4 linked regions of the Drosophila melanogaster genome follow. The protein of the gene in region 1 interacts with the protein of each later gene in a pairwise test. Each region holds a gene or a part of one and is shown in the gene's direction. Other genes may lie near its edges. The genes, in order: CG14401, Prip, CG17985 and CG42288.

The links.
Region 2: the proteins of CG14401 (region 1) and Prip interact in a two-hybrid assay, tested with the Drosophila melanogaster proteins (one large-scale study listed by BioGRID).
Region 3: the proteins of CG14401 (region 1) and CG17985 interact in a two-hybrid assay, tested with the Drosophila melanogaster proteins (one large-scale study listed by BioGRID).
Region 4: the proteins of CG14401 (region 1) and CG42288 interact in a two-hybrid assay, tested with the Drosophila melanogaster proteins (one large-scale study listed by BioGRID).

What each region holds. Positions count from the first base shown.
Region 1 is NT_033779.5:20,868,236-20,871,991, forward strand, and holds CG14401 (uncharacterized protein), read left to right. Parts: upstream 1-1,618; 5' UTR 1,619-1,898; coding exon 1,899-2,112; intron 2,113-2,366; coding exon 2,367-2,525; coding exon of another isoform or gene 2,526-2,537; intron 2,538-2,596; coding exon 2,597-2,820; 3' UTR 2,821-3,237; downstream 3,238-3,756. Other genes in the region: CG31675 (uncharacterized protein), read left to right, coding at 116-289, 882-1,102.
Region 2 is NT_033778.4:11,434,525-11,442,256, forward strand, and holds Prip (prip), read left to right. Parts: upstream 1-1,718; 5' UTR 1,719-1,898; intron 1,899-5,273; 5' UTR 5,274-5,308; coding exon 5,309-5,344; intron 5,345-5,445; coding exon 5,446-5,601; intron 5,602-5,662; coding exon 5,663-5,806; intron 5,807-6,543; coding exon 6,544-6,966; coding exon of another isoform or gene 6,967-7,014; exon of another isoform or gene 7,015-7,096; intron 7,097-7,125; coding exon 7,126-7,179; 3' UTR 7,180-7,216; coding exon of another isoform or gene 7,217-7,237; 3' UTR 7,238-7,348; intron 7,349-7,410; coding exon of another isoform or gene 7,411-7,446; 3' UTR 7,447-7,692; downstream 7,693-7,732.
Region 3 is NT_033778.4:7,651,078-7,656,999, reverse strand, and holds CG17985 (uncharacterized protein), read left to right. Parts: upstream 1-1,697; 5' UTR 1,698-1,873; coding exon 1,874-1,887; exon of another isoform or gene 1,888-1,928; intron 1,929-1,962; coding exon 1,963-2,522; intron 2,523-3,045; exon of another isoform or gene 3,046-3,162; coding exon of another isoform or gene 3,163-4,464; exon of another isoform or gene 4,465-4,560; intron 4,561-4,646; coding exon 4,647-4,888; 3' UTR 4,889-5,375; downstream 5,376-5,922. Other genes in the region: CG30491 (uncharacterized protein), read right to left, coding at 300-528, 585-844, 900-1,056, 1,109-1,206, 1,264-1,429, 1,495-1,580; Rpt1 (regulatory particle triple-A ATPase 1), read left to right, coding at 3,163-4,464.
Region 4 is NT_033778.4:14,089,035-14,092,341, forward strand, and holds CG42288 (uncharacterized protein), read left to right. Parts: upstream 1-1,996; 5' UTR 1,997-2,074; coding exon 2,075-2,341; intron 2,342-2,413; coding exon 2,414-2,537; intron 2,538-2,601; coding exon 2,602-2,693; 3' UTR 2,694-2,780; downstream 2,781-3,307. Other genes in the region: prosap, read right to left, coding at 2,959-3,126; CG42287 (uncharacterized protein), read left to right, coding at 1,342-1,563, 1,623-1,758, 1,822-1,901.

The sequences.
Region 1 (3,756 bases):
TTGTACTTTGCTTTGCGAGTTCTGCGTTTGCCGCGACCTGTCGGCTGTCCCCGCCTGATCTCATTTCTGCCATAAATAAGACGCGTCTCTGGTCTTCCCATCCCAATGCCACTAGCTTACGCCATCAAGTGCTATGCCTGCGAATCCGTCTACGAGGCTAGTTGCGGCGACGACTTCGAAGTCGAGAACCATTTTAAATACGACTGCGCCTTCATTGCTCCTCCGCGATTCCTGGAGAACGATCTGCTCAGCGTGAATGCCACGGCCTGTTTGAAACGGGTATTCAAGGGTGAGTTTAAACGAATATGTTTCTCAAAACACGTTCCTACGGATTTGAAGCCTTGCTAGGATAGTAACTTTAATAGTTATGAATCAATAGGTATAGTAAAAAGAAAAGAAAGTTTGAAATATAAGATTAAAAAGTGGATATATCGTAATTCACCAAAAATGTATCTATCCACCAGATATTTTTTTAAAGTAATTGTTCATTAATTACAAATACAGTCCGATTAGCAGCGGACAAAAAAAGTGTGTTCCGAAAGGTAAATGTCTGTATACTCATTAAACATTCGCAATGTTGTCCGTCCGAGATTTGTATTTACTCTTCAGATAATAATTTCTTTAATGATTTGTGACGCAAATCAAAACAAATAAAATTAATTATGTGAAACAGTCATACATACATTCATAGACATACGTGCATATACGGACAGCTGTGACCTTATTTCAGAAGAATCTCGTAGACTTTCCAACAATCTCTTGATATTTTGGACAATACGTACACATTTCGTATAAGCCCATTAAAGACGGACAATAAAAAATGTGTTTATTTACGATAAGTCAGCCCGAAAGTAGACTAACCCAATGTTTTGCCTCTGCAGAAAACGGCGTGCGTAAGATCGTCAGAGGCTGCTACTTCGGCGAGGTAAATGCCACCGATGTGTGGTGCAAAATGGACCCCACCCTGTCGGCGGTGCAGAACTCAAGTTGTCATGTGTGCGACAGCGAGAACTACTGCAACGGATCGGAAAATCATCCAGTGGATAAATGGAAAATCTTCGGCAGTCTGGTCTTGTTTCTCTTGGCAACTCAACTACTCTGAGGCGACAGGAGACGAAGTGGAAATGTGGAAATGTGGAGCGTGAAATGAACATTAAAAGGCACAGTAGCTTAAGTAAACCTAGTTCAATTTAGATGTATTCCCAAGGCCCAGGACTATCAATTAGTAAAGCCCACATTAGTAGAGCACACCATCCACAAAACCGTTTAGCCAAATCTGCCCGGCCCACTGTATTAATGGCTAATCAACGCCGAACATGGCGTATGAGCAACATCAGCACACCGAAATGAGCCGAAAAGCTGGCAAACAAATTTCGAACGATCCAAATACAAACTAATAAAAACTAATTTTACACAGAATGCCAAATTGTTTATTTGTTCAAATGCCACTAATGAACCTTGCCTGAAATAAATGGATTGGCGAGGAAAGGGCAAAGGGAATGGCAGGGCAGGGTAGGGCAAGGCAGAGCACGATGTCAACACGCATTGGCCAGGGAAAAGCCAACGATGGAGAAGTGAAAATGTGAAAAAATCTGTTATGAAAATCAAATTCACATTCTGAATGCGATTGTTCGCACGTTCAGTTCAGTTTCTGTTTAGTTCAGTCGCGTGTGTGCATCGCTTCGAGTCGGTGGTCGGTGGTCGGTGGTCGGTGGTCGTTGGTCGGCGGCTTGTGGCTATATAGCGCATCTATCATGTGATTAAAATCGGTCCGGCAACCGAGAAGACAACATCTGTATTCGCGCACGTATCGGCATCGCCAAGCTATAGCTATAGCCATACTGACTCACCGCGACCGCCGGACGACAGTGGAATCAACTGTTTTCGGGGGCGGTACGATGGCGATGATGGCAGCGCTTGCCTCGCTCTTTCTGCTCGTCACGCTGGCCAGCTCAGGTGAGATTCTCGATTCGCGCCCGCCACTCATCACATTCCTGCCCCGAAATTGTAGTTCATATTTTGAAATATCTCAGAAGCAGAAGACTGTCAACACGATTTATTGCGAATCAGTGAATTTAGGGTTTTACCGACTGTTTTGCGGGAAACTGTTCAGTAAAGAAAAACATATAAACAGCTTTCTTTGTTTATTTCATTGTTTACGTATAGAGTCTAAAAAGTTCAAGAATTATATTACAAATTTTAATTAACTTACATCTGAAAAGAAATTAACGTTTTGGAACATTAAGAATGGTTTTAAAGCTAATTGTTTACTTTAAGATAAAGATAAGGTCTACCAAAATGCTCATCCATTGTTTTCCTTTCTGTGCACTCTCGTGGACACACATTTTTACGGATGTCGTCATCAGCCCGTGCCATTACCTGCTACGAATGTGATTCCGTCAATAATCCAGGGTGTGGGGAGCGATTTGTGGGCGATGACATATCCACGACGGATTGCGATGTGGTGGCGAACATGCGATCCCTGGGAGCGGAGGCCACTTGCCTTACCAAGTACCATGAGGGAAGTGAGTATACGAGTATGGTTTCTGGAAAATATGTCAAGGAAATCCCTTATAAAATGACTCACTTTTCGCAGTGCCAGGAGACACGCGCTTCGTGAGGCGCTCCTGTTACTTTGGCGATGCCTCCCCAATAGGCGTCAGTTGCGACGATGGACCAGATCCTGTGGTGCCCTTTATGAACTTCCTCGGCTGCACACTGTGCGATACGGATTTGTGCAACGCAGCCGCTGGATTATCCACACTACCCTTGGTCATTGCCCTTTCGATACTCGGACTGCTTGTCCTACTGGCGACCTAAGGAAGATGAGTCGCGTGGAACGGCGGCGGTCGTATTTCAATGTTTCCTATTAAAAGTAATATACTCCAGTATTGTATAAAAGATTGTTGTTTTCTTGGTCGACTAACTAACATGACTTCTTATACTCATGCAAAGGGCGCAGAACAAGAACGACCCAAAGTTTATCCTTATATTCTTAATTTTCTAAGGCAAATGGCTTAAGTTATAAAAAGCCTACTGAATATGTAATAAATTTAACTTAAAGCCCCTAGAAGAATGAAATAGAAGCAAATATTTTTTAATTTTTATTTTATTTGATTTTCTTTCCATTGTTTTTATACATCCACTAAAATGATTTAACATACATATATATTTATATAATTATACTTGTTTGATTTAATATAATTTATTGAATAAAATTTACTCGTTTCCTACTCTACTAGCGTGTGTATGTAAGTATGTGTATGTGTGTATTGCAATTAGGATCATTAATTACAAAATATTCATAAAATAAATTAAAATAACACTTTCAAATCGATACACACAATTTCTGTTTCAATATCTAGTCCATTGATTTCTTGATCGTCAAACAATTCTAGTTTTACATTTATTTCCAGTTTATAGCATAAATTATTTTATGTAGGCAAACAGATAACATCTTTGCTTATTATCTTAATGGGTTTAGCTGCGGATTATATTCATAACACTTCTGGGCTACACATAAATAACATTCAAATATAAATATATGGATATTTATCAAGATATTGTATATAAACTACACATTGAGAACAATTCAGATAGAAAACAATTTATGTACAAAAGATTGTGTTTGTTTTTGCTTCACCAATACTGTCCATGCTGGCGTTGTCCGGCGGAATCTCTACGATCCCAGCGAGGACCACTGCCGCGTCAATGCCACAAACAATCGTCGTCCATCTTTCCGCGTCTTAAAGTCTA
Region 2 (7,732 bases), on another chromosome or scaffold:
TTTCGTATATGATTTATACTTGTTTGTTTCTCCCAGGCATATTTTTGATAAAACTGGGCTGAGCACATGTAGTTGAATCACAAAATGTCGTCGTTTTCGATAAACGCACTAATTAATCATCCGAAAATTTACATAATTAACTATTCTTTGTTAAGCTATAAAATTTCAGTAACTATGATTTAAGAAATGTAACATAAGAAAATAATATGTTGAATAAAAGAGAAACTCTATAAATAAATAACTACAACGCTTGTCAGTTTAGAATGCGAATGATCATTACAATTAACTAGGAGGTTTCTATCAATCCGATTCGGAGTGAAGTGTATTAGTATTTTTGTACCCGTATCAGCACGTGTTGCATTCAACCGCCTTATTCTTATTTAACTTGTTATCAGTATTAAACCCGTTATTATCTATAACTAATAGTGAAGTACACATAGCCTATACTATAATGTTTCTAATCAGGAAACCTTAAGATAAAGCTAAGTGGTATTTTTAATCTAAGCCAAATTCGCTAGTCTAAAGACGTGACATTAACTTTAAAACCAGGAATGACCTTTTCAGACTCGTCTACACACAATATAATTTTAAATATTACACACTTTTTGGCGAATTTACCCTAATAATTAGCCATTTTATGATTATGATAATAATGAAAATAAAATTAAAATAAAATAAAATAGTTTATAATAATAAAAATAATGTTATATATAAAGGTCGAACAGTTTCAGACCATAATGTAAGCAAACTATACATACAAAGTGTGCCTACGTTGTTTTCGGTGTACTATCTCGATCATTTCTACTCTTATATTTGACTTATACGATTACACTTTATTTTACACCAAGCTCACAGTCATAAAATTGTGATTATACGCATTTATGAGGGCCTCATAAAAGTGTGCTTGGATTTGTGATCTGCGATTTTGCGGTTATTAATTTAAAATGGCAAATATACTTCGAAGACAACACCCATAAAGATAAAGTGAATTTGATTTTACGTCAAAATGTCATGGAAAAGTTCGGTATTCTCTGCTTGGAGTACACTAAATTAATTAAAGAAATTGTTTGTGAAGACATGATTTCTGGGCCGATTTCTCTGATAAGAACACCGAAAAGCAACGGAAACTTTTCTGCAAGCGTCACTGTCTGACGTGAATGATGGGTGGGTGTAAATATTACCCCTAAATAACTATTTGCAGTCCATAAATTTACTGATTGGTCGGAATTTTCAATTTAATATTTTTGCATGGTTTGTGTCTTGGCTGACGCGTGTGGGGTGTGGTGAGTTTCGGTGCCTGGCATGTTGTGTTTTTAAGCGGTGCGCCCGCGCAGCTAAACAATTTCGAATTCATTCCCTTTCAAAACTTTGGATAGTGCAATTAAATTAAATCGATGAAGAATTTGATATATATATCTATAAACGAATAAGTTCTCTGATTAACTTTCTTATACTTACGCATAAAGCTTATATTAAAGCGTATAGAATGTAAACATAAAAGCTCATAAAAACTAATTTGTTTTTAATAATTAGTTACACATTTATATAAACATTTAGTTAATACGCATAATTACATTATTTAGTTTTTTATAATTTAATTAATATAAATGTGCGCTCTTCGCATGAATTTATCTCTCTGCCCCTCTCTCTTTATAAATCGCGCTCTTTCTGCGCCATCGTTTTTGGTGCCTTTGGCTTTTTGCTGCCAAATGCGGTCGCGCAGTTTTTGTCGTCGAGTCAAAGTGCGCGGATCACTCCTCGAGTGAGCTAACAATTCCTGCCGAATTGAATTAAATATTTGTTAAGTGCAAGTTAAGGTGTTAGCTGTTGTTGTTGCCGTTAAGTCGAGTTCGTAAGCAGGTGGCAAAGGTGCCAAAGTGAGCTAATAGCAAAACAAGGTAAACTTCTAATTGAAAGTGATCTTGAAAATGCATAAAGTACATAAACTTTAAATGGGCATATCAAAAAGAGAATATTTCAACATATGTGTATTATTAATGTTTTTAATTAAGTTTAGATCTAATCAAATCAGTTATCCTGCAATATTATGCTGTTAATGGTGTATTTATAAGCTTGTAATCGATTTATTTATATTTAGTTTTTGAGTTTAATATAAACTAATGAAATGTAATTGCTTATATAGCTAAATAGTGACAAATTTAATAATTTAAGTTAAGCAAGTATAATTCAAAGTAACTAAAGTTTCTCCCTGTGCACCGAAACTAATGCTGTAATACCGTTTTGCATTTTTTTCTAACCCCTTACTTCGCCATTTATCAAATCTACTTTGATCTGTTTTCCTCTTGTTATGATTTTTGGAATTTTGTGAGACCGCCCCCGCATGTCAATCGTAAAAATATAACAATTTATGTACAATTTTTACTTTTGACCGCCAGCACGATTCTGAGTAATTAAAAGCCGCGAATATAAAATGTTATTCTTGCCAAAAGATGTGTATTTGAAAATTCATACATTTGGGACATTTCATTGTGCTTTTCATTTTGAAACCAGCGTTGCGTGAAACGATGCGGTCGTGCGATCTGTTTAAGCTTTTAAGATTTCTATATGTTTTGGTATTGTGTTCATTGGCTAATTGTTATTTAGGTACGGCAATGCCATGATCCGATGATATGGTAATGGGTCTTACAGAGCTTGGGGCATTCAGTTCGCTTCATATCTGACACTTGTGATTGATGGGTTGACCGCAGCAATTTTCTGGTCTCTGATTTGGTAATTTAAGTGAAGAATGTCCATCAGAAGCCTGGCTTCACTGTGGCCCCGAACACGTGTGGGAGTTTGGGCTATTAACTTTGCAATTGCCTCTGTGTGTGTGTGGTTTCCCCCCACTTTTATCGCTCCTGCCCCTCCCACGTTCGGCGTTGCATACAAATTTAGGGCTTAAGTAAGTTTTATGGCTTTTTAAGTGACAAAGTTGCGGCAAACAATTGCAAACGTCTATATCGCCAAATGCCATCAGGCGACGAACGCAATTGGAGCTAGGCCAGATACAATAGTTCAAAAACAATGAATATGAAGTCCAGTTCCCTGATTTCAGGCAAAGTTAACAGCTAGTTCCTAAGCTTTAATAGTCTGCATTACATTGTTGTCCCTTAACTTTTTCAAAAAACACTAAAATAGTTAGAGATCATGTGACTGCCATATTGGTAATTACTTTGATGCCAATAAATGCTACTCAAAACGGCAATAGTACCGAAAACACTTGAAAAGTGGTCAAGATAATTTGTATACTCGCTTTTAGAGTCCATAAAAATACATCAAGAAAGCAAAGCCAAAGATATTAGCTCATCAGCTTCAGAAACGGGAGATTTATACCCGTGTTATCGGCATGTTTTTAAATTAATGACGAATGTCTGCGTATGCGGCGATTTTTCTTAACGACATTCTTCAATATTTGCATATAATTAAATTTTATTGGAACACATTTTTAGCCGCCCCTCGGTTCAATTCGGCGAGAGTTCAAGTTCATGAACCCCTTGTTCATACACGTTTCGAAAGTCACAAAAATGCCTCGAATGACGAAAATCAGAACGAAATGCGTTGAAATGCATTCGACTTTGTTGTGTGTGCGAAAATATGTGTGAATTATGTGGATTTTGTTCTCGCCGTTTGTGCTAATTTGTTGAGCAAACTTTTACTTTATTGTTCGGATATTATGCGAATTGGCACGGACCCACTTGTACACTGGCAATTAGCCACATTTGTTGGCGCGCTATTGAAAATTCCAGAATTGGTGAGGGGCATATTGGGTTTCCAATTATAAAACAAGCTTATCATCCATAAATTGCGGCCCGAAATAATCGCAAAGCAAACTTTAATCAGAGCCGATTAATTGCTTAGATTTTTCATTCGAGGACCCAACACCTTGTGGTTGTACATACACCATTTAACCATTCTCATTAGCTGCAACCAAAGTGATAATCAGCACCTGTGAATCCGCACTACGGAATGTCAGTTAGTAGCTGGCCAATTAAAGCATTTCATAGGAACTAATAAAGATTATAATTACATGCTCAAATTGTTGAATCCGTTTTCACAATGCATGATTAACGGTCGATGACAAATATTGAAACTCTCAGGTTTTTACCCCGTTTTCCTCAAACCTCCAGTCAATGGAAATTGTTGTGTGGGTAGATTTTCGCTCTATGGCAAGGCATTCCACTTATCCGTGGGCCCAACCTTAAGTCAACTCAATTACTATTTGATCATCCAGCGCACCCCCTGCACCTCAATTAAGGAATAGAACTCGCTTTTTCATATCAGAGCACTTGAGTCTATTGGCTGATATCGATATGGGGCTCATGCTCGTAGATGACGCAAATGAAACACGAAATTCATTAAGATTGCATTAGAAAAGTAAATACTCGAAGTGATGAACAACTTGAATGCTTTGCGAGCATAGAAAATGGGAATTAACATTGAGCGCTCACTGATTGATTACCAAATGAAATGATATATGCAATATAAATTATTTTATACATACATACTCGTATGTATTTTTAAAGCTCTCGATGTTCTTGATGTGTGGGGGCATGGCCAACAAGTCTTAGCCCATTTTTGGGCCTGTTCGTGACCGCGTTGCGCCAAATAAGAAGAGCAAAGCAAACGCTTTCCACTGATGCCACTCTAGAACACTCTAAAAAAAAACCAGGCCTAATCCCCCCGCGGCTACAAAAACTGCCGGTTAAAAACTCAATTGCGAGTTCTGTTCACTCCTGACGGCGTTGTGCTCAAATATTTACATCGTTTTTATGACCCGTTGCCAATTAAATATTATACACTTTGTTTGTTTTATATATATTCTCACATGCAGCTGCAATTGCTGATAAGCTGGCAGTCGTCGAGTTGAGAGGAGGATTGCCCAGTTACCCACTGGCTGCCTCCAGTTACCCACTTTTAATGACAAGTGCTAAAGTTGAGCATTTAATAAATAAACGTAGATTAAGAATTTTTGGGACACAAGCCTTGAGTTAAATGAAAACCCCTAGACTTTTCCAATTGAAGACCAGACAGAAGTGTCGGCCAATTAGGCATCGTGACGGAAATTGCAGCGGAAATGCAGATTGTCAAAACTGTCACCAAAGGCCAAAACAATATCGCACCTTAAATGAGTGATAAAAGTGGCTAAATACCTGCTGAAGTCGGACAATTGTCCACTTCCATTTTCAAACACATTTCCATTTGCATTTTGGATTGCCATTTGCATTAACTACCAGACATCGTTCACTGATATTTCCGTTGGTCTTTTTTTTCAGTCCGTCAGTTTTAGTTGAAAAGTGAAGCGAAGAAGATGGGAAAATTCGAATACTCACTGGGTCTCAATGAGGTGAGTGCAAATCATACAAAGACAAAGTTTAATCGAAATACCAGTCAGTTATTAAAAATATCATTAAATAATGCTACTTTACTTATTAATTTGTCTTCTAGCTCAAATCCAAGGAGCTGCGATTGTGGCAGGCCTTGATTGGAGAATTCCTTGGCAATTTGATCCTCAATTTCTTTGCCTGCGGCGCATGCACCCAAATTGAGGATGGCACCTTCAAGGCCTTGGCTTTTGGCCTGGCTATCTTCATGGCCATCACGGTGGGTGGCTCGTTAATCTACGACATTATTCATACCCATATTCAACTATATATCCTTGCAGATTGTGGGCCACTTGAGTGGTGGTCATGTGAATCCTGCCGTTACCGCTGGAATGTTGGTCGCAGGACGAATTAGCTTGATCAGAGCCTTTTTCTATGTGGTTTTCCAGTGCTTGGGTGCAATTGCCGGAACTGCAGCGGTTAAGGTAGGCATTACACACATAAATTATTACATACATCTGAGTGAAATTATTAAAACAAAATACTCATCAGATTCCACTATTTCTTATATCATCATCATCAATTATATAGAGGTCGTCATTATGACAAAAAAATCTAACCTATCTTTACTTCTATGGTATATCTACAAAACAGCATTGCCAAAGAAAAGTCATTTGGCTTGTAAGTGTCTCAATCAGAACTGCCAGATTTCAAAATCAAATCCAAAATGTAGTCAATTAAAAAAATGTATAAATAATAATAAATATAAATACTTACTCGTTGTAAGATGATTGTTTGCAATGCTTTTGAGCTTATCTCGCTTTCTTAAAATAACACACTGAGACACATATGTACATACATGTTATTAAGTTTATTATTGTGATTGCCTCACATCCGGTTGCGGTTAAAAATGCCTTGTGTTTTGACCATTACTTTCTTTCGTTGAGTGGATAAATGATACGGGTACGCCAATGTCAAGAAAGTACTTTGATTAAATACTCGTATTTTTCGGTTTTATTTTGTATTAAAAACTACACATTTTAAAAAACAAATGATTTAGTAGAAATCACCAGTTCAATGAATCAACTTAAAATCTAATAGTTTAAAGTATTTTTACATACTCAACAAAACTAAGAGCTATATTTATTTTTAAGATTAAGATATCTAATCTAATCTATCTATCTATCTATATATAAATATTTTTTTTATACCAACACATTAGATTCTCATCGATCAGGACTATTACAATGGCCTGGGTCACACCTCTCTGGCGCCCAATATCACCGAGCTGCAGGGCCTGGGAATCGAGTTCTTCCTGGGACTCCTGCTGGTGCTCGTCGTCTTTGGGGCCTGTGATCCCCACAAGCCCGATTCCCGCTACACGGCGCCCTTGGCCATCGGAATGGCGGTGACCCTGGGTCACTTGGGCACCATCCGCTACACCGGGGCCAGCATGAATCCCGCTCGCACCGTGGGCACCGCCTTTGCCACCGACATCTGGGCGTCGCATTGGGTATACTGGGTGGGACCTGTGCTGGGGGGCGTGGCTGCCGCCCTGCTCTACACCCAGGTCCTGGAGGCGAAGCCCGTGCCAAAGGTTAACGAGGCATCCGAGAAGTACCGAACGCACGCCGATGAACGCGAGGTGAGAGTCAGGTTGATAAGCGCCTGGAGCGAGGAGTCCTTCTACTGATCCGTGATTCCGCCCACCCATTACACACACACACACACACACACACCCATCACACACACAAACACTCACTCACACTTGCATTGTAAATACTCCCGAATTACTTGATTTCAGGGATGCAAACCGAACCACAACCCGAACCATTTGGCATATACATATCTCGCTTAACTATAACTATTAAATGTGTTATGTTTTATCGCTTTAGCAGCAGATATTCGTATACTAAAGATATTACGACCTGCACGCAAAACTAATCTAAACCGCTTTTGTGAACCGAATACGATTGGTTTAGAAACTCTTCAATCCTATCAACCGAACCCGTCCGCCATTTCGATCGGTTTGCATCCCTGTTTAATTAGCTAACTAAATTTTGTATTATTGCAATTTATTTACTTGCAGATGCGCAAACTGGAGGGAGCCCGTGACTACGCCTAGATATAAAGAAATCTTTGCGACTCGAATCTAGGGATACAGATGAAATCTGTGTGTTTAATCCATTCATTTCAGTGTCTAACATAAACATGTCGTGTTCTTCTACGTTCGTGTGTATTTATGTATTTATTCATGCAAAATTCATTTTTAACTAACTAATATTTAATGTGTAAGCTGCCCTAAAATGCAATCTACAACAAAATTACTTGTACTCTCATGCGCTCACAATAAAGTGGAAAACATTAACTGAAACAAACTGGTGTTTATCGATTTTGTATCTTAATATAAA
Region 3 (5,922 bases), on another chromosome or scaffold:
TTTACAAAGAGCGAAAATGTTGCATACTGCCGAAATGAACCTAAACTTTTGGACCGAAGGCTCGGGTTAAAATGTAATGGATATACACGTCTATTTTAAACAAATGATGTAGAAATTGCCCCTAACCGGTTTCGGGGTACGTAAGTTTGAACGCACACAAGCCCTGAGCTTTCAACTCTTATTAGTCGGCCACGTTAAAATAACTAAAACAAGACAAGTGGAATTGTGTAGACTGTAAGAAACTGAAAATTTATGCGAAGTAACAGAGGGATTGTCAGAAACATATTTCACAATACGAACTATTGTATTTTAATCATCGTTGGCTTCGTCCACTTTTCACTGACTGCCCAAAGCCACTTTGCCGTTTGGGTGTCGGTGGCAGCCGGCGCCATTTCCTTCAGTTTGCAGTCGCTGAAGTATTGTCCTGTCACCTTTTCTAGCTCGGGATCCAGAGCAACATACAACGAGGTCTGAGCACCATTTCTCGGAGTCTTAACAAAGGGCCAAAACAAAGGCTTAACAAAGAGTCTGAAAAGATAAGTATTTCGTAAAAAAGGTTTTAATGGCATTACTTCTCTACAAACCCAGCAAAAAAATTATTGAAGAATCCCATGTGCCTGATTATTTCTGTGTCCACCACACCTGGATGCAGGGCATTCGCCGTTACGTTGGTGCCCTCTAATCGTTTGGCCAACTCCCTTGTGAAGAGTACATTGGCCAACTTGCTCTGGCTGTAGGCCTTGCCTTCATCGTAGGATTTGTCACTGTTCAGATCGCCAGTGTTTATTTCTCCTCGAGTGTGTGCCAAACTGGATACATTTACAATCCGACTGGGTGAGGATTTCTAGGAATAAAATGGTTATTAATCAGATTTAAGATCTAGTAAAGCTGTGTGGTACCTTGAGTAGATCCAACAGTAAATTGGTAAGCAGGAAATGACCCATGTGATTAACCCCCAGCTGAAGTTCGATGCCATCTGAGGTGAGAGATCTGGGACAGCGCATAACACCGGCGTTGTTGATCAGTACGTGCAGGTGCTCCTGTTCCCTCTTGAAGCTGCGGAGATGGATTGCGGAATAAACACAACTTAGGCCTTAGGTAGACTTACGCGGCAACAAAGTGACGGATGGACTCCTGGGAAGCCAGGTCACATTGCCGGCAGTACACATATTTGTTCTTCGTTTCCAGCACGATTTCCTCGCGAGCCTGCACGCGAGAAGTATTTAGTCGTGTTTTAGGAAATTATCTCAATAAAGATCGTACCTCCTCACATTTCTTTAGGTTTCTGCATGCCATGTAGACGGTGCCACCTCGCTTCGCAATCTCTCTCACCGTCTCCTTGCCGATCCCCGTGTTGGCACCGGTGACAATAAACACCTTGCCGGTCTCATTGGTTTCTTTGGTGAACTGACCGCCTTGCATAAGATCCCTGTGAGGCGGTATAAAATGTGTAGTCAAAACAAGGGAATTCTGTGTGAGAAGCAGATCACTCACTTCACGAAGAAGGCCAGTCCCGTCGTCGTGCCGGTGAAGCTCAGCCAGAACGCAGTGCGGCTCTTGAGAAACGCAAATAGTGACATTTTAGGAACTCAAAAAATATACAAATTAGCTAATAAACGAAAACAGCTGTGTTTACCCTGTTAAGGCTAACAGCGCTCGTTAACAGAGTCCTATCGATATTTTCGGTCATCTGTGACGGAGCTTTCCCTTTGTTGTTGTTCGTGGGCTGCTGCTTAGAACAAACTTTACACGTAAATAATCTAATTGCGTTAATTAACTGGCTTGAGCTAAACAACGACGTGCGATTTGATCGAGGGAAGGAACGTAGTTGAGATCTGGGCCAGGAAATCCCGACTAGGCAAGCAGGAAAACAATGCGTCGCAATGCGTAAGTCAGCGCCAACTCGACTGTTGCTTTTTCCAAGAGATCCGAATGTGATCGGAGTTCTCCCCTCATCTTCAGGCGCCAACAACAACACAATCAGGAAGAAATCGGCCCCGACGACGTGGAAGACATCTTTGCCCGTCCCGCCTACGATGACGACGAGTTCGAAGATCTGCTCCCTCTGGCCAGGAGGCCCAATGGCCACGCCCGACTCGGCCGCTACGAGAACACTCTGGAGGTAAAGGTCCAAGAGGGAGACACACTCCAGGCGCTGGCCCTGCGCTTTCACTCCTCTGTGGCGGACATCAAGCGCCTGAACAAGATCGACCGCGAAAATGAAATCCACGCACATCGGGTTATTCGCATTCCGGTTACAGTGCACAACGTCCTGCTGGGCAACGGGGGCCTCGAAGCCCTTCCTGCGGTCCACCGCAGCGGGAACAACAGTCCTAGACACAATATTGAGCGGGAACCAGCTCCCGAACGCAATCCCCTCGAGGATGCGCGGCAAATGCTGGATGAGCGACTCCTGGTGGCGGCGGTAAATGCTTCAGGCGCCGTGGATCACGAGAAACCATCGACGAGCAGAGCTGCTGGACAATTCTACGAGGGAGCCCAGGGTGCGCCGAATGACGAAGGTGAGTACAGAAGATGCAGTTGGGAATGAAAGCCCACAGTTCGCCGCGGTTTTAAAAATTTCTGAAATACTTTCACTGTTGGTGAAGAAAGGTCAGTGCTGATTTCAGTGCGAGTGTACATATATATTATTTAATTTAAAAATAAAAGTACAGGTAAGGTAAAGGGTGCAGAATGTATGTTTACTTATCAATCAAGCAATATCAGTACTTTAAAAATAACAAAGTTTCTTATCTATTTCAATTCAAATATCTACCAATTTTGAACTAAAACACATGCATGGAAATTCGCAACATGCTCTAAGATAAGATAAGAAATATAACAGCATTTAGACATTTTATGTGTTAAAAATTTAAGCTCCAGTTACTAATTAGTATATTTCCAATTGAAATACCATAAAATAATTTTGGGAAAAGTTTAAGATTTGTATTTTAACAGTAGAAGTTAAAAGTGGCTACACATCGATAGTTCCCAGTGTTAAAGTCAGTGTTGGGAAAGCATGTATCGATTCGTCGATAGCGCTAGCGGTGCTTCTCCCATCTCTATGCCAAATTGTTCAGTCATTCTCGCCGTAAAACAAAAGGAAAACATCGCATAAACTCATTTTTTGCCTTAAAAACCGTACAATTGCAATCGAATAAGATGCCGGACTACCTGGGCGACGACCAGCGCAAGGTGAAGCACGATGAGAAGGAGGACAAGGAGATCAAGTCCCTCGACGAAGGCGACATTGAGCTTCTAAAGACTTATGGGCAGAGCCAGTATCACAAATCCATCAAGAGCATCGAGGAGGACATTCAAAAGGCTGTGAAGCAGGTGAACGAGCTGACTGGAATCAAGGAAAGCGACACGGGTCTGGCGCCACCAGCGCTCTGGGATTTGGCCGCCGACAAGCAGATCCTGCAAAACGAGCAACCGCTGCAGGTTGCCCGATGCACCAAGATCATCAACGCGGATTCCGACGACCCCAAGTATATCATCAATGTTAAGCAGTTCGCCAAGTTCGTGGTGGACCTAGCTGACTCGGTGGCCCCTACTGACATAGAAGAGGGAATGCGTGTGGGTGTCGACCGCAACAAGTACCAGATCCACATTCCGCTGCCTCCCAAGATTGATCCTACGGTTACCATGATGCAGGTTGAGGACAAGCCGGACGTCACCTACAGCGATGTGGGCGGCTGCAAGGAACAAATCGAAAAGCTGCGCGAGGTGGTGGAGACGCCACTGCTGCACCCGGAAAAGTTCGTCAATCTGGGTATTGAGCCGCCCAAAGGTGTGCTACTGTTTGGCCCACCGGGAACGGGAAAGACCCTGTGTGCCCGCGCCGTTGCCAACCGCACGGACGCTTGCTTTATCCGCGTCATTGGCTCTGAGCTGGTGCAAAAGTACGTGGGTGAGGGCGCTCGTATGGTGCGCGAGCTCTTCGAAATGGCGCGTTCCAAAAAGGCTTGTCTCATCTTCTTCGACGAAATTGATGCTATCGGTGGTGCCCGATTCGACGATGGGGCCGGCGGCGACAACGAGGTGCAGCGCACCATGTTGGAGCTGATTAACCAACTGGATGGCTTCGATCCGCGCGGAAATATCAAGGTGCTGATGGCCACCAACCGACCCGACACGTTGGATCCGGCGCTCATGCGTCCCGGTCGTCTGGACCGAAAGGTGGAGTTCGGCCTGCCTGACCAGGACGGTCGCTCGCACATCTTTAAGATTCACGCCCGCTCCATGTCCGTGGAGCGAGATATTCGCTTCGATCTGCTGGCGCGTCTATGTCCCAACTCGACTGGTGCTGAGATCCGGTCAGTATGCACGGAAGCGGGCATGTTCGCCATTCGGGCGCGTCGCAAGGTGGCCACAGAGAAGGATTTCCTCGAAGCCGTCAAGAAGGTTATCAAGAGCTACGCCAAGTTCAGCGCCACTCCACGCTACATGACCTACAACTAAGTTACATTTATTGGCACTATTCTGTATCCTCTGCAAACTGTAACACTGCAGCTGGCAATTTATTAAATAAAGCGAAATCTATACCTCCACCAACTGAAAACTGAGGTGTTTTATATATTTTATAAATCTTGTTTGCAATGTCTTTTAATTGCGTAATCATGATCTCTTAACTTTGTCTACAGCCAATATGGAGCAACCCTACGAGGAAAATGCCGCTCTGCTTAACCACATGGTGGACAGGCACGCTCCGCTAGTGCGTCCCATCCCTGGACCCTCTTTGAGTGCCATCGACTGGTCCGGATCGGACTGCGACTTGTCTTGGATATGTCTGCTGATCTTCATACTCGCCTTGTGTGTCGTCATACCCTTGGTCTACGTCATCTACCTAGCAGAGCATCCACATCACAACCATAGTGCCCAGTAGTTGGGTAATGTCTGCACCCGAAGTGGTCATCATTCCAAACGGCACCCCCTCACCCGGCACCCTGTCAATCTCTCAGATGAGCCTGGCGCATTTCAAATGCAACCCCAGGCGACGGAATTTATTTTTATACCTATGCGCGTAACTTTGTATTGACTCTTGATAAAAAAAATAAGGTCTTTGTCGACAGAACTTTTAAATTACCACGATTTGGGTGCTTCCCAGATGCATAGGCTTGTCTATGCGCCACATAACTTCTGGCAGCACCAATTGCAGGATTCTAAGATCCGATTGTGCTGTGAATATAAATCGTAACCCCGCCGTTTTGCTTTTCTATATGTTTTATTGAGTACAATTATGTAACATTTAAACTACAATAGTACGGGTAAGGTGTAACATTATTCAGCTGAAGTTGGGATAGTTTCTCTTACGCCAAAAAAGTACGTAATACATATCTTAGAGCTAAATAAATAGTATCCATGGATATAAGAATTATGTAATACTAAATACGAACTACAATTAACAATGGCGCATGCTAACGGCCAACTGAACTTAAGTACTTTTTTTCCGTGATGTTTCGACTGGGAAATGGAGGCCATGGCACATGGTATTTGGCGAAGATTTGGTTTGGATTATGGCCGGATTGGTGCTTTGCCATTGTCGTAAATTTTCCCCTCCGGGAAGATCAACTAAGGGTCGCACCCAACAAGACTGTATTCGCATATTCACTTGAACTTTAAATTCTCAAAGAAAGCAATATTGCTCCGGAGGAATCCGTGGCGCACGGGCACAGGACTCGCCGGTGAGGCTATAGGTGGAGTGGCCTCCGAATGTATAGAAGGATCCCTGAAATGAGATGAAATGTAGAATAGTAATAGCTCGACCAAGGTTCTCTAAAGAGCTAACGTTTCGAGTGATGATAAGTCCGAGGCGATCGTAGACTCATCGGCTACTTCTGCCATGGAGACGGCGTGCTCCAGTTTGTGCCGCTTGGCCAGTGACGTGTTCGGCTTATCTGGAGTGTCTGGCGGGGCTGC
Region 4 (3,307 bases), on another chromosome or scaffold:
TTATTCCAATGATGTCATATTCTTTAGTTTGCAGCATGAACAACTTAATTAGCCCTTGCTATCTTTCAACAAAACACAAACAACATGCTTCCATAAACTTTAATCGCAATTCACATTGCATGCTTATGTAACTCAGGATATTATTCCCCACAAACAAATATCCCCAAAAAATGGTTAAAGCACGCTCAGCTTTCGGTTCCCACACAACCGATCAGAATTTACAACATAATTTACTAAGCTGCACGCTGACAGTGGAACCAGAGCGGCCACGCCCCCTTGCCAAAAAGCCAAAAACAAGGCAATGTCTGTCACTTGACGCGCTGAATTTGAATTGGCCGAAACGAAAACGGAACCGGCACGAAAGACCCGGCCATGCAATTAGCTGGAGGTCATTGTGTTCGGTTCAGCGAAGTTCATTTCAGTTCAGTTCAGTTCAGTTCGATTCGAATCGATACCAGTGTGATTTCAAATCCAGTTCGGTTTCAGTTTGGGTATCGCCCAGAGTTTCCGTTTGCAATTTTGCGGTTTCAATATTGAATTGGGCGAGGCCCCCGCATTGCATTTACGCTTGACAATGTTTCGACAGCAATTTGCTCAACAAATTGCGATTAAATGTATACAATTGATTGACCATTGTTTGGCTTTCATTAGCACAAAGGAGCGGGGAAGTGCCTTTCATTCGGTGAGTAATTTGACGGCATTATAAGGGCAAATAACCGCTGATCTTGACCCCCTGACCACGCATTTACTCATATTTCAAACTAAGTAACATATGTGAATATGTTAACACGTAGTTCTCCTAATCTGTTGGCCATTGAAAAACTAACCTTCCTTGTGACTGACACTTTTTTTTTGCCTCCCCTTGACAGACTGCCATTCAATTGTCAAATATCTTTGGATCTGCAGCGTCACGATTTCCAACTGGGCGCACGACCTCAGACATTGCAGTTGCCGATAAATTGCATTGAACTTCAAAAATTGAAACTTCACGAGGGCCATTTGGCAGCCATTCGAGGGCGGCTGAGGGGGCGTGGTCGTTTTTATGTTGTAAGGGCACGTGTCAGCCTTTGGCTGCATAAAAATTTCAATCAACAACATCTGTTGAAAAATTGCATTGCGATTCCACAGTAATTGGTTTTTTGTGTGATTCAATGCAAAATGCATTTAGTTTGATTGTGAATTTGTGTCTTTTAAGGATTTTGATCCTTAATCTTAGTGCAAGATTATTATTGATTCAAATATTAAATAACTAACGCAAAAATTTTACGATCAACTGTTCCTTGCATTCTGTTGTTTTGGGCGAAATTCATGTAAAAAAAAATCACAAATTTCTGTAGCGGCATGTTTTTTAAAAAGTGCTGCTTTTTCCTGCCCCTCAACGTGGGTTGCATAATCATTGGAGCCATCTTCATAACATTTCACGTTGGGGAGCTGATAACGCATTCGGATGACACCATTTTCATCAAGCAAGTGTCCCACAAATGGTGGGCACCCGTCATCATGTCTCCGATCCTGACAATTGGAACTCTGAGCTCTATACTCCTTGTGTATGCTGCTTCGAAGGTAAGAGATTCAATTGGTTTCTTTCAAGATTCTAATGCTTTATAACATTACAAATGCAGAGCAAGCGAGGCTTTGTCCTTATGTGGATTATCATCTATGCAATTATACTATCCCTATATTTCCTAATGGCCGTTGTCCAGTTGGCCAGGTCGAAACCTTCGCCGATTATATTGGCCGTTCAGGTGTTCATCATAGGTGGGTGTTGGCCATTTTTGATTGAATATGTCTGAATAATGTCTTGATTTTCATACCCCCTAGTTGGTCTCGTTTATTCCCTGCTAATAGTGCTGGCTTTTTATCGATATTTGAGCAGTGTGGATTCTGACGATTCAATTTGATGAGTTGTAAAATAAATGTTAAACTAACGTGTAACTGAATTTAACTGATCTAGTTTACTTCTTTCAGTGTGTCCCTTTTATACAAACTAGATTTTCAACAAATTTCAGTTTCTCAGGAAAGCTTTGAAAATTGTTGTTTAAAACTTGCAGTGCGGCTGAGGATCGGATCAATCATGGCCTGTCGCTGCAAATATCTGAAGCAGATCTTTACCAAGTGCTGCTACTGCTATTCCCTGCGTTTCGGTGTGCTGCTCTTCGGATGCATTTTTCTAACCTGGTTCATTTACATCACCATCGGCACCGGCTTCATGATGGAGTGCATCTTTCCGAACGAGTATCAGAGGTCCCTTATCCCAGCACCGGCGGCCCTCAAGGCCACCATGGTCTTCTCCTTCTTCGGCATCATAGTTTCGGCCATGCTCTGCCTGGGAGTGCACAATGTATGTGATCTGTCTATTATAAATATTCCCAATATATTTAGCATATGCTTATAATACCTCATAATTTTGTAGAACAACGAGATGCTCTTCCTGCCATTTTTGGTTTTCACACCCATTTGGATAATTGTGCACATTTTTGCCCTGACCGTTTACAGCTTTAATACCATCATCATCATCCTGACTGTCATCACAATGTGTGGGTACCCCCAATAATCATGAATCTAAAGCCTAAATTAAGTATACTATTTAATGTTTTATAGTACTTTTAGTGTATGCCTGGCTGGTGGTTTGGTCCTACTACATAGAACTGCTCTTCGCCTACGAAGATGAACTGGAAACCGGTTATGTGTAATAATAGTAATAATAATGATATTTACAAATTTTAGTATGTTGAGCAAGCATTTGATGTGCCTAATAAAATAATGCATGTAGGATACAGAAATACAGATCATAATTTCGCTTGAGCAGAACTCCATACTATGTGAAGTAGACCCCATTTCGGATGTACATATTTCTCCCCGTTTAGTGAGTATTTAGCGCACATGAGACATGCCCGTGCTCTATATACACCGAAAAGACAATGGGTATCGCAGTGGTAATGACAGTGACCGACTTACCTTCGGCAGCGAGGCGAGCACCTGCTGCTTGACATCCCAAACGAGCCGCTCCGATGGGAACTGCAGACACTTGTAGACATTCAGCTCCGGCACATGGATGCGCACCAGTAGCCATCCGTCCCGCGGCTCCGGCGGCGGCTCATCGTCAAACGCACCCGACCCGGACATGGCGTCCGTATTGGCCGGGTTCTGTTTGACTTTGGGCGTGGGTGGGTGGTATGTCGTAATTTTGACGGCTTTCTATCGCACGGTCCACGAAAAAAAAACGAAGCTACTCCCGCTCCACTGGGAGATCTCCTTCTAGCCGTTCTATTCGCTTAATTTGCTCTTTCCTTATTTGGTTGCACTT